Arabidopsis thaliana: one gene and its partner. The protein of the gene in region 1 purifies or fractionates together with the protein of each later gene. This does not show direct contact. Each region holds a gene or a part of one and is shown on either strand. Other genes may lie near its edges.

Region 1 (6,288 bases):
AGCTGTGGAGCAGGGCTAGTTGCTGGCGAGTAAGGATACGCTGCATACCCATAACCCTGAGGATACACAACAGTCCCATTCTCTCCATAAATTCCCTGGTAAAATATTGAACCTGTTAAGCAAAGAAAATATAAAGACGATGAAAGGCACTATTATAACTAGTCAGCACACACTTACAGAATTCATGTCAACACCCTCAGGATTTGTGTAAGCTGGGTAGTCAGTCCACTCTTGACCACTCCCATATACTGAAAAGTTACAAAACGAAAAACTTGTTAAACCAGTGGTGACAATTTAGTGAAATAATGTTTCTAGATTGTAAATGATTTGAGGATGAAGCTACCATTGTAATACTGGTAGGGATTGTAAGGATTAGGAACATAGCAAACTGAAGGGTCAGCAGCATCACTGGGAAGCATTGGTGTCAAAGATCGATCATAAGAAGGAACTTGACCATGAACATCAACGCCTCCATACTGGTAGACGGCAGTCTACACAAGACACAAAACAAAAGCGTTAAAAAAAACTGGAAGAAGCAAAAGTTGTGACAACAGAAAACCAAAATTCAATCTGCAAATCACCTTCTTGTTAGGCTCAGGGATCTCTGAAGCTTTTGCTGGCGAGTCCAAGGATAGTTTCTGCAACAGATCTGTAGCTTCTACAAACAAGGTGAGTCAAGGAAGCAAAGAATTACACAATTAACCATTAGAATAGTGGAAAGCAAACATTCTCAAATCAATCAAACTCGCCACAAATGAATCGATTTGAATCAATATAGAAACCTAACAATCGAGAAATATATTGAGAAACCCGAAACTGAATCTAGGCAATATCAAATATATCTGAACAAGACTCAAAATCAGCTCACTGGATTCAAGATCCAACAGATTCAAGATCGAGAAATCAAAACACAGATCGAGAAACATAAAGAAAGGATACGATCAGCAGGAGGAGCAACGGTAGCCATGAGAGGAGATTCGACAAACAAAGATTTGGATAGATCCTTCTCGGATAAAAGGGGATGCGACCAAAGAGAAAGAAGAAGAAGAAGAAAAAAAAGAAGATAGAGAAACCCTAAATGGAATCAGGAAAAACCCAGATCAAATCTAGGGTTTAAGAGATAGAATAGAAGAGAGAAAGAAGAAAAAAATGGCCGCAGCCGCCAAGAAGGAGAAGGGTTTTGCTTCGGGGAAGAGGAAAAAAAGGGTTTTGTCTCTCTACCTCTCCCTCTGATTCAAATAGATCCACTAATCAACCACCTCACCTTCTCTCTTTTTTTTTTCTTTCTTTTTTTTTTTTTTTCTTCCACCTTAAGATATTTCCTCTTTTGTTTTAAAAGAAGACTATAGACCGTGTGGTTTTGGTTATTTTTCCTGCAAAATCTGGATAATATACTTTTCCATTTTCTTAAAATTGGTAATCTTGTAATAAAATAGATATAAATCTCAATTCTGTTACCAAAATATAATTCAAAAGTAAATTTGGTCAAATTTAAAAGCAAAAGAGGGCATGCTTTCTATTATAGGTGTGTTTCTTCTATAAATTTACCCCAATATACATTGAAATATCTTTAAAAATATATATTAAACTTTTTTGTTTTGAGCAACTATTTAAAAACTAAAAGCAAATCATTAAGATAAAACCAAAGAAAGTAAAATCTATTTTTCAGAGAAACTTACCAAAACTAGCTATTCAAGAAAATATACTTTACCTTTAGGATAAAAGGAAGTAAATTACCTTAGCTTAAAAAAGCTATTATTAAATAAAAACATTTTAAGATCGAGAGTATGTAATGGGCCTATTTGATTAAAGATTCATAAACAGGCCCAAATCACCAAACAAGGCCACCGGAAATAAACCCATGATCCGATTACCCATCCGACGTTCTAGAGAGTTCTAATGAGAAAACAATGAAGAGTACATCCAACGGCTAAGATTAGCTCGAAGTTTCAAGAGCTAAAGGCTCATATCGCCTTTATATTCAAAGAAAAAATTATCAGTAGCAAGTGCATTCTTCATTTCGTCATTGGAGAAACCTACTTCTTCCTCCTTATCCGGAATAAACCTCTTCGGCGCCATCTCTCTCCTCACCTCCGTCGTTCCACCGTCCGGTGAGTGTCACTTTTCCCATCAATTGAGCTCACAATGTTGGCGCCTATGTAATTGTGTGTGTCGATTGATTGTTTTGTTAGAATTGGAATTAACAAGTATTACTAGTAGCTGAGAAAAAGTATGTTACCTTGTTTTCGTGTTCCCGGAGATTTGTGGCTATTGGTGTAGTTGTGGTTTTGAGTATTTGGGGATTGAGCTCTGATTTTGAAATTCATCTGTTTTTTGTTTTTTGTTGCCAGTTTTAATTGGTTAGTACTTTTGGTGAATCTTTCGTTTTATGTGAACTGTTGGATTGATTTTCAGTGTTTGAGAAGTGAAAATGGCATCGACATTCACTGCCACGTCTTCCCTTGGTTCGTTGCTTGCTCCCAATGCTATCAAGTTGTCTTCTGCGACTAGCATCTCTTCAAGCTCGTTTGGAAGGAGACATAACGTGTGCGTCAGAAGATCCCGTCCTGCCATAGTATGTGCAGCCAAGGAGTTGCATTTCAATAAGGATGGGACTACCATAAGGAAACTTCAGGTGAGAATTAATGAATTGATTTTCTGGAGTAATGATTAGGATTCGTTTTATTTTTGGTTTCTGATTACTCGTTTGTTATTAGACTGGTGTTAACAAGCTCGCGGACCTTGTTGGTGTCACACTTGGACCAAAAGGGAGAAATGTTGTTCTTGAGAGCAAGTATGGATCCCCAAGAATTGTTAATGATGGTGTCACTGTTGCGAGGGAGGTATGAAATTTATTGTCTGTTTAACCAATTATGTTCCTTTCGTTTTTAATTACTTCTCTAAGCTTAAGGTTTTCTTCTGCTTAGGTCGAGTTGGAGGACCCGGTTGAGAACATTGGTGCAAAGCTTGTAAGGCAAGCAGCTGCAAAGACCAATGACTTGGCTGGTGACGGTACAACAACATCTGTTGTTCTTGCACAAGGTTTTATTGCTGAGGGTGTCAAGGTTGTTACATTCTTCTTTCAGCTTTCTCTGATTTTATACTCAGAAGAACAGTATATTAATCTGAAATTTTGTATTTTTCAGGTGGTGGCTGCAGGTGCGAACCCTGTATTGATCACTAGGGGGATTGAGAAGACTGCAAAGGCTTTGGTTAACGAGCTGAAACTTATGTCTAAGGAGGTAAGTAACTATTATGCTAAAACTTCCTTCTTCTTAATTTTTCGAGAGTCTATAGCAAGATGGTCTAAAGGTTATGTCATTGGAAATATAGGTTGAAGACAGTGAACTTGCTGATGTGGCAGCTGTTAGTGCGGGTAATAACCACGAAGTTGGAAGTATGATTGCTGAAGCAATGAGCAAAGTGGGCAGGAAGGGTGTGGTGACCCTGGAGGAGGGAAAAAGCGCTGAGAACAACCTTTATGTTGTGGAAGGAATGCAATTTGACCGTGGTTATATCTCCCCATACTTTGTGACAGACAGTGAGAAAATGTCTGTTGAGTATGACAATTGCAAGGTAATTTTTCTTTATTCTGAGCTACCAAAATGATATTGTGATGCAAATAGCCTAACAAGTTTCTACTGTGCAGTTGCTTCTTGTTGACAAGAAAGTAACCAATGCAAGGGATCTTGTTGGGGTTCTAGAGGATGCGATTAGAGGCGGATACCCAATCCTCATAATTGCAGAAGATATTGAACAAGAAGCCTTAGCTACTCTTGTTGTTAACAAGCTTAGAGGCACACTGAAGATTGCAGCTCTCAAAGCTCCTGGATTTGGAGAGCGCAAGAGCCAATACCTTGACGATATTGCCATTCTAACTGGAGGTAGGTCATGTTTTTATAACAAAAAACCTATATGTGGGTATCAATCAATGTGCCCTCCTGATTTGGAATCATTTGGCTGTTAAAACCTTACCGTGTTGCTTCTGTTTTTGTGTGCAGCAACTGTGATCAGAGAGGAAGTTGGTCTTTCTCTTGACAAAGCTGGAAAAGAGGTTCTGGGTAACGCTTCCAAGGTTGTCCTGACAAAGGAAATGACAACAATTGTGGGTGATGGGACCACACAAGAAGCAGTGAACAAGCGTGTTGTACAGATTAGGAATCTTATTGAGGTATATGTTTGAGTCAAACCGCATAAGAGTCTGTGACAGCTACTTTTTTTTGTATAAAGTTTGTTTATGCTAATACAACTGCGGTTGTGCAGCAAGCGGAGCAAGACTACGAGAAGGAAAAATTAAATGAGAGAATTGCGAAGCTCTCTGGTGGAGTTGCTGTAATTCAGGTAAAATAGTAATCACATGGACTTTCTTGGATTTGTATGATAGAAGAATAAGTTAAGTGATCTAATTAAAGTTTTTACATCTTGGTTAAAGGTTGGAGCTCAAACTGAGACAGAGCTCAAAGAAAAGAAGCTGAGAGTGGAAGATGCTCTTAATGCTACAAAGGTGATTTTCTTTATCCAGCTGATGGGGTTATAGGTATCGTGCTACTCATGTATATCTTAATTATATGACCTCATTGAGTTTCAGGCTGCTGTTGAGGAAGGTATTGTCGTTGGTGGTGGTTGCACTCTGCTCCGGCTTGCATCAAAGGTCGATGCCATCAAGGATACCCTTGAAAATGATGAAGAAAAGGTGATTGGCAAAATCAAGAATTTTGAAATTTTTTGCAAATTGCTTGCTCTTACTGCATTTTCAACTATTTCCCATCTCTAGGTTGGAGCGGAAATTGTTAAAAGAGCACTGAGTTACCCTCTGAAATTGATAGCTAAGAATGCTGGTGTTAATGGAAGTGTTGTCAGCGAGAAGGTTATAACAACATAAGAACATCCATGCTTATTCAGCTCTTGATCTACGTAAGTTGCTTAAAAAGCTGTATTTATTTATTGCAGGTGCTGGCTAACGATAATGTGAAATTTGGATACAATGCTGCAACCGGCAAGTATGAAGACCTGATGGCTGCAGGCATCATCGACCCGACAAAGGTCAGTTTCTCACATACACTCCCTCACTCTGTTTTGCTATCCCATCTGATCGCAAAATATCCAATGAACCTGAGTGGATTTTTGTTTTCAGGTTGTGAGATGTTGCTTAGAACATGCCGCCTCAGTTGCAAAGACGTTCTTGATGTCTGACTGTGTGGTTGTTGAGATCCCAGAGCCAGAGCCAGTTCCTGCTGGTAACCCAATGGACAACTCAGGTTAGTCCAGACCTTCTGATTCATAAAAACTGGACAGTGACATCAAAACAAAACTCATGTTTCTTCATCACTGAATCTTTCTCGATTGTCTTGTTTCAGGTTATGGATACTAAGATAGACCGACCAGGTTTGCTCGTAAAGCTGAGAGATAGGCAAAATTCCGAAGCGAGAGTAGCTCACTGGGATACGGATTCCTTTAGCTTGCAAACAAATTTTCTGTGCAAGTGTAGTGATTTTTGAACCAGAGAATAATGTGTTCACTAGATATCATATTTGAAATCATTTTGAATAACTTGTCAGTGATCTTCAAAATCTTGAGTGCTCTTAATAACACCATCTTATATACATGCTAAAGCTGAGGGAACTTAGATAGAATGCAAAAAGTGTACTTTAAATTTAAAAGCTTCTTGAATCTGACTAAGAAAGAACTTCATTAACTGGTTAAGTAAACAAGTGTAATATAAAGCAATTCTTTTAACAACTCTAAAACCGTAAACACTGAATCGACAATCGACATATAACCTCAGGTGAGCAAAAGTGGATTCTACTATATGTACCTCAATGTAGATGGATTCTAAATCCAAAGCCACAAGCTGAACAGAGCCAATTCTCAAGCAAGCTTCTTCACCCTTCACCATTGCCATATCTTCCGGTAAAACTAAGCCGAGTTGATCACAGAATAACACAAACACAGCTTTGATCGCCATCATATCTAACATCTTCTTCTTCACTGCAAATATAACAGGGATTCAGACAAATGTCAATCAACTAATTCTCAAAGTTAGCATCTTTTGAAGCCTGAATTGATCAAAGATTCAAACTTCATACCAAGAAACCTAAGAAAAACAAAGATTCAAACTTCATAGAAGACAGTACCTAGACTCGAATTCTCGGATCTCAGCAAGTTCTTTCCCCATCAAATCCACCCACTGTACTTTCTTCTTCTCCTTTCTCCCACCATCTGCTGAATCTAAGACCTCCTTCTTGAGACTGCTTTTCAAGATTTCCCCATTACTAAGACTTTCTTCTT
Region 2 (4,461 bases), on another chromosome or scaffold:
TTCCAATTGCCTTAAACGATTTGACGTAGTTTCGTATGTTTAATTCACAATGTCTTTTGACACCGAAAACATGACTGTTCGTTGTTAATTCAATTTTATATGATCCACTAGCTCTTAGATGCAATGATAAACTCTTGATCATTTTTTTTTCCTTTGATGGTTAATTTGGTGTATATACGAGAACGGATGCTGGATAAAGCAAATGATTAAGAGAGACGGCAAAGTCAATGGGTCTGGTTTACATGGTTCCCATTATCCAAAGTCTTTCGTAGTCGTCACCATGTAGGGGGCCACTTATGTTTTCTATTAGACTAAATGACGTCGAGCTAATGATTTTATCATAATTTACGATTTAACATTAAATTCTGGAGTTCTTTGGGTTAACAAATTTTAGATTAACCTTCGAAGGAAACTTGAGGCTGGTCAATTTTTTTGTTAAAACCCTCTGCAGGGCAGGCCTAACAAGGCTGGCTTGGCCTGCTTGACAGCCCTAGTTAGATGACACTACACACTTTTTTAGCAAGGAATTGCAGAACCAAAGAGATAGGAAGTCGTGAACAGATTTCAGATTTAAACCAAAAGACCAGAATACGAGAAAGTCTTGATGGCAGCTATTGAGTTTAAATGACGAAATGGTTTCAACTTCTCAAGCATATAATCTAAACCCGCAGCCATTTTGCAAAGTAAAAATCCAACTAACATCGAAATAAAATAGTTCCAGCGTTACACACACAAGCCTTACATTTCCATTGGAGCCACGTCTTGGTCACCTGCAACACCACCACCTCGTTCTGCTGGTGCAGCCTCGGCAGCTTCGGCCTCACCCTCACCAGCCTCGCCTTCTCCTTCCTCTTCCTCTGGCACTTTCTCAAATGTGTCGATCACTTTCTGTATTGCTTCCTGGTCCAGGAAGTGGAACGGTTCATCGACTCCTAGAATAGCGACTGTGCAGAGAGAACTCTTCAGTGTTTCCCCTTGCAATGTCTCCCTAACAGCCAAAATAGCATCTTTGATCAGATCTTCTCTAGAAGAATCCCCAAAGCTCTCAAACCTGCGTTCCAGATAGGTCTTTGCTGCTTGGGAACGGGATCCAATAGCAAAAGCTTGGTACTCGAAGTAGTTTCCGCTGGGACAGTTGTAGTAAAGGTGGGCTCCAGACTCATCCAATCCACCTACCAGCAAACCAACACCATAGGGTCGTTTCCATGATCGTTGGGTACAGACCTGTTCATAAAGGCAAACATACACATAAATATTTCCTTTTCCAGATCAAGAAATATAACAAAAAAAACCCTTGGTAAAGACAAGAAATATGACAATAATGTAACTTAAGTTGGACCTGTCAAGTAAAATCTCTCCTACAAAAGAGTAAACCAACTAATAAAGTTTGACAATGAGGAAATACAAGACCCTTCCTTTTATAAACACATATAATATATGGGAGCTCTTCCCAATGGCTTTGAAAAGTATTTATGCAGATGTGGATAAAACAGCTAACTTAAGAAACCATTAGATAGGTGGAAAAACAAAGTGAGAAGTAGCACATAATTACAGAAAAGATGTCGAACAAGCACCTAGCAGGAGTAATTGACTGGTAAGATAAGTGCATAGTGGTGAGAACGATGCAAAACAAAGAGCGGAATTCACTTCTTAGAGGTACTGAAAATCAATAACTCCAAATAAAAACTGCAGAAACAAGCAAAAGCACCAGAAGAAACACAAATCTCTTTCTTTTAGAATCCTATTGTTAAGCTCTTAGTTATGGTTAAACTTTTAAATACAAGATTATGCAGCAGTAACAACAAACATGCAAACAATTTCACTAAACAAGATTCAAGTTTCTGCTATGATAAATTAAGAAAACTCTTATTTAATGCAATTTAGAATCCTAATCAGCTCAGATCAAACCCTAAGCACAAAGTCAAGAAGCTAATGGCTAAATTTGAGCTCAGTGATTCACAGTGTAATCGAATTCCAAATTCCTCAAATTTCAATTAACAATTACAACACACTTATCACCGAATCACACAAAACCAAGCGTAATCGATTCCAAATTCCACCAAATCTCAATCAACAAACTACAAAAGCCTAACCTGAGCTTTATCAGCAAGATGAACAACGAGACGACCAACAGGAAGAGGAGACTCATAAGTAAAAGAGTGATTAATCGATTCCGATCTCATATACCGAGACAATACACGACCGTCGGCTGTGAGACCAGCGATTGCAACACCGATATGGTCATCGACTTTAAAGATCTTCCTCTGATGCGAAGAAAGCTCCGATTGAGCTTTGTTAACACAAGCGAGAACGACATGAGAACGAGATCTGAGTCCAATTGCTGCAGATCCTTGCTTCACTGCTTCCATGGCGTATTCCACTTGGAATAAACGACCTGTTGGACTCCATGTCGTAACATCTGTGTCGTATTGGTTTCTGAACATCTTTGCTTCTTCGTCTCGCTTTCTTCTTCACTCGTCGTCGAAAGGGTTTATAGAGACGAAAGTTCAGAAACAAAACTTTTCTTTTCCTTCAAGCCATGGATGCTCTCGATCTCTCTCTCGATTTAATGGGCTTCTATTAAATTCTGGGCTTTGTATTGGCTCGGTATCTAGCTTATTGGGCTAAGACTTTAGGCATATGTTTTATACAGACTTTAGGCCTATGTTTTTATACAGGATAATCCTTGTATATTCTTTTTTTTTTTTTTGATGAAATGTGAAATTGTTTAAGAATCTTTAAATATGTACAAAAGAGTTTGGTCAATAGTTCTCAGTAAAAAAAAAAACATTAGACAAAACAGAGCACACTAGCTTGAATATTCTTGTATATTATTTGAAACTAAATAAAAATGAATTAATTTTATAAATATAAAACTTTGCGATTTTGTTATTAGTAATCATATAATTTGAATTGTTACAAAAAAAAAGTCTCTGTGATTGATCCTATTTAAAATTTTAGAACATTTATCATTTTTAAAATTGATATCTTAAAATTAATTTATTGTATATTTCTAAACTTTTATGACAGCTGAAAAGTCATACATTTTTAGTTTTGACGAATATAGTGATGAAGTAGATCATAACATGTGCTTGTACAACACTAATAGAATTTTGATTTTTAAATATTTATTTAAATTTGAATTATTATTTGTTTTATAATATAGTTTTAATCATTTTATACATAATATAGAAGTGGATTGGTAACGATTGTTATTTTCGACTATTATTATCAACTGTATGATAATTAATCGTTGAGTCTTTAAGAATATCGCGAAAGTTCATATTGTCTCATACAAGAAGATTAACAAAAGCATATTCAGTTTAGCTCAAGTTCCTTAAACTGGAATCACAGATGACTAGGGGATTGAATTTTGTAGCATCGATAAAAACTTAACTACTCAGATTTTTGTTGTAGCCACAAAATCAATCACCCAATGAGATCAAGTTCCTTTACCTCCACAAACAAAGCTCTACAACTAAGCTTTTGTATTGTTATAACGTAGTTTCTAGTCTATGTATGTTAGATCAAGTAAATAAATTCAGCACTTTTGTGGTTTTATCTCCCTAAGATCAGTTACTAGTTCATGACGCTAACTAGCTACATGCAATAAGAACAAACCTAGAACGAAAAACTTCTAAAAACAAGCTATTTTAAAATCGTCACTTACCTTATTCAATTATGAAATCTCCTTTGATGAAACTTTTAAACCCAACTAACAAACTAGTAATAATAATAAAAAATTAATTTAACTATTAAATCTAATTTGCCACTAAAAGAAAATTATGTATCGGTTTGAGTTTATTAGAAAAAATGAGAGTTTAGATTTTATGATTAAACGAGGTTAAATATCGGTTTGGGTTTACAAAATACGATTAGGGTTTAGATTTTATGATTATACGATGTTAAATATTAGTTTGGGCTTATAAACATATTTAGATTTTACAATTAAACTAGGTTAAATGTCGGTTTGGGTTTAGAAAATACGATTATGGTTTGTTTTTTAACGATTAAATAAGTCTAAATGGCGGTTTGGGTTTATAAAGGAGAATTAGGGCTTAGATTTGGTAATTAAACGAGATTATATATCGGTTTGGATTTACAAAAAAGTGGGGTTTTAATGATTTATTTTAATTATTTTATTTTGATAATATTAATTGTTTTAAGTTTTTTTAATCAAATAACATGGCAAATATTGATTTGTTATTAAAGAGGGGGTGAATAAATTAGGTTCACCCCCTAGAAGTGAACCCAAGAATTATTCTTTATTTGATATTTGATGATTTGTTTTCAAAATTTTAATTTATTTATTATATAGATTAGTTAAAGTTAGCATATACTATGATTTATAACGTTTTTATATGTTTTCACTTATAATTACTTTCTAGATTTGTTTTCAATTTTGTAAGTTTTCCTGATTCAAGCATCTAATGACAAAAAAAGCATCTAATTAATTACTAA

What was found. The genes of interacting proteins can lie anywhere in the genome.
Region 2: the proteins of Cpn60beta2 (region 1) and PAF1 fractionate together in Arabidopsis thaliana (co-fractionation; one large-scale study listed by BioGRID). This does not show direct contact.

Annotation. Positions count from the first base shown.
Region 1 is NC_003074.8:4,387,254-4,393,541, forward strand, and holds Cpn60beta2 (TCP-1/cpn60 chaperonin family protein), read left to right. Parts: upstream 1-1,961; 5' UTR 1,962-2,111; intron 2,112-2,415; 5' UTR 2,416-2,431; coding exon 2,432-2,635; intron 2,636-2,717; coding exon 2,718-2,843; intron 2,844-2,927; coding exon 2,928-3,065; intron 3,066-3,146; coding exon 3,147-3,242; intron 3,243-3,333; coding exon 3,334-3,576; intron 3,577-3,649; coding exon 3,650-3,884; intron 3,885-4,001; coding exon 4,002-4,171; intron 4,172-4,263; coding exon 4,264-4,341; intron 4,342-4,432; coding exon 4,433-4,504; intron 4,505-4,588; coding exon 4,589-4,693; intron 4,694-4,774; coding exon 4,775-4,867; intron 4,868-4,950; coding exon 4,951-5,043; intron 5,044-5,134; coding exon 5,135-5,258; intron 5,259-5,357; coding exon 5,358-5,371; 3' UTR 5,372-5,762; downstream 5,763-6,288. Other genes in the region: ECT2 (evolutionarily conserved C-terminal region 2), read right to left, coding at 1-95, 178-248, 344-491, 582-658, 940-967; AT3G13480 (nuclear polyadenylated RNA-binding protein), read right to left, coding at 5,931-5,988, 6,135-6,288.
Region 2 is NC_003076.8:17,158,532-17,162,992, forward strand, and holds PAF1 (proteasome alpha subunit F1), read right to left. Parts: upstream 2,626-4,461; 5' UTR 2,445-2,625; coding exon 2,094-2,444; intron 1,225-2,093; coding exon 739-1,224; 3' UTR 513-738; downstream 1-512.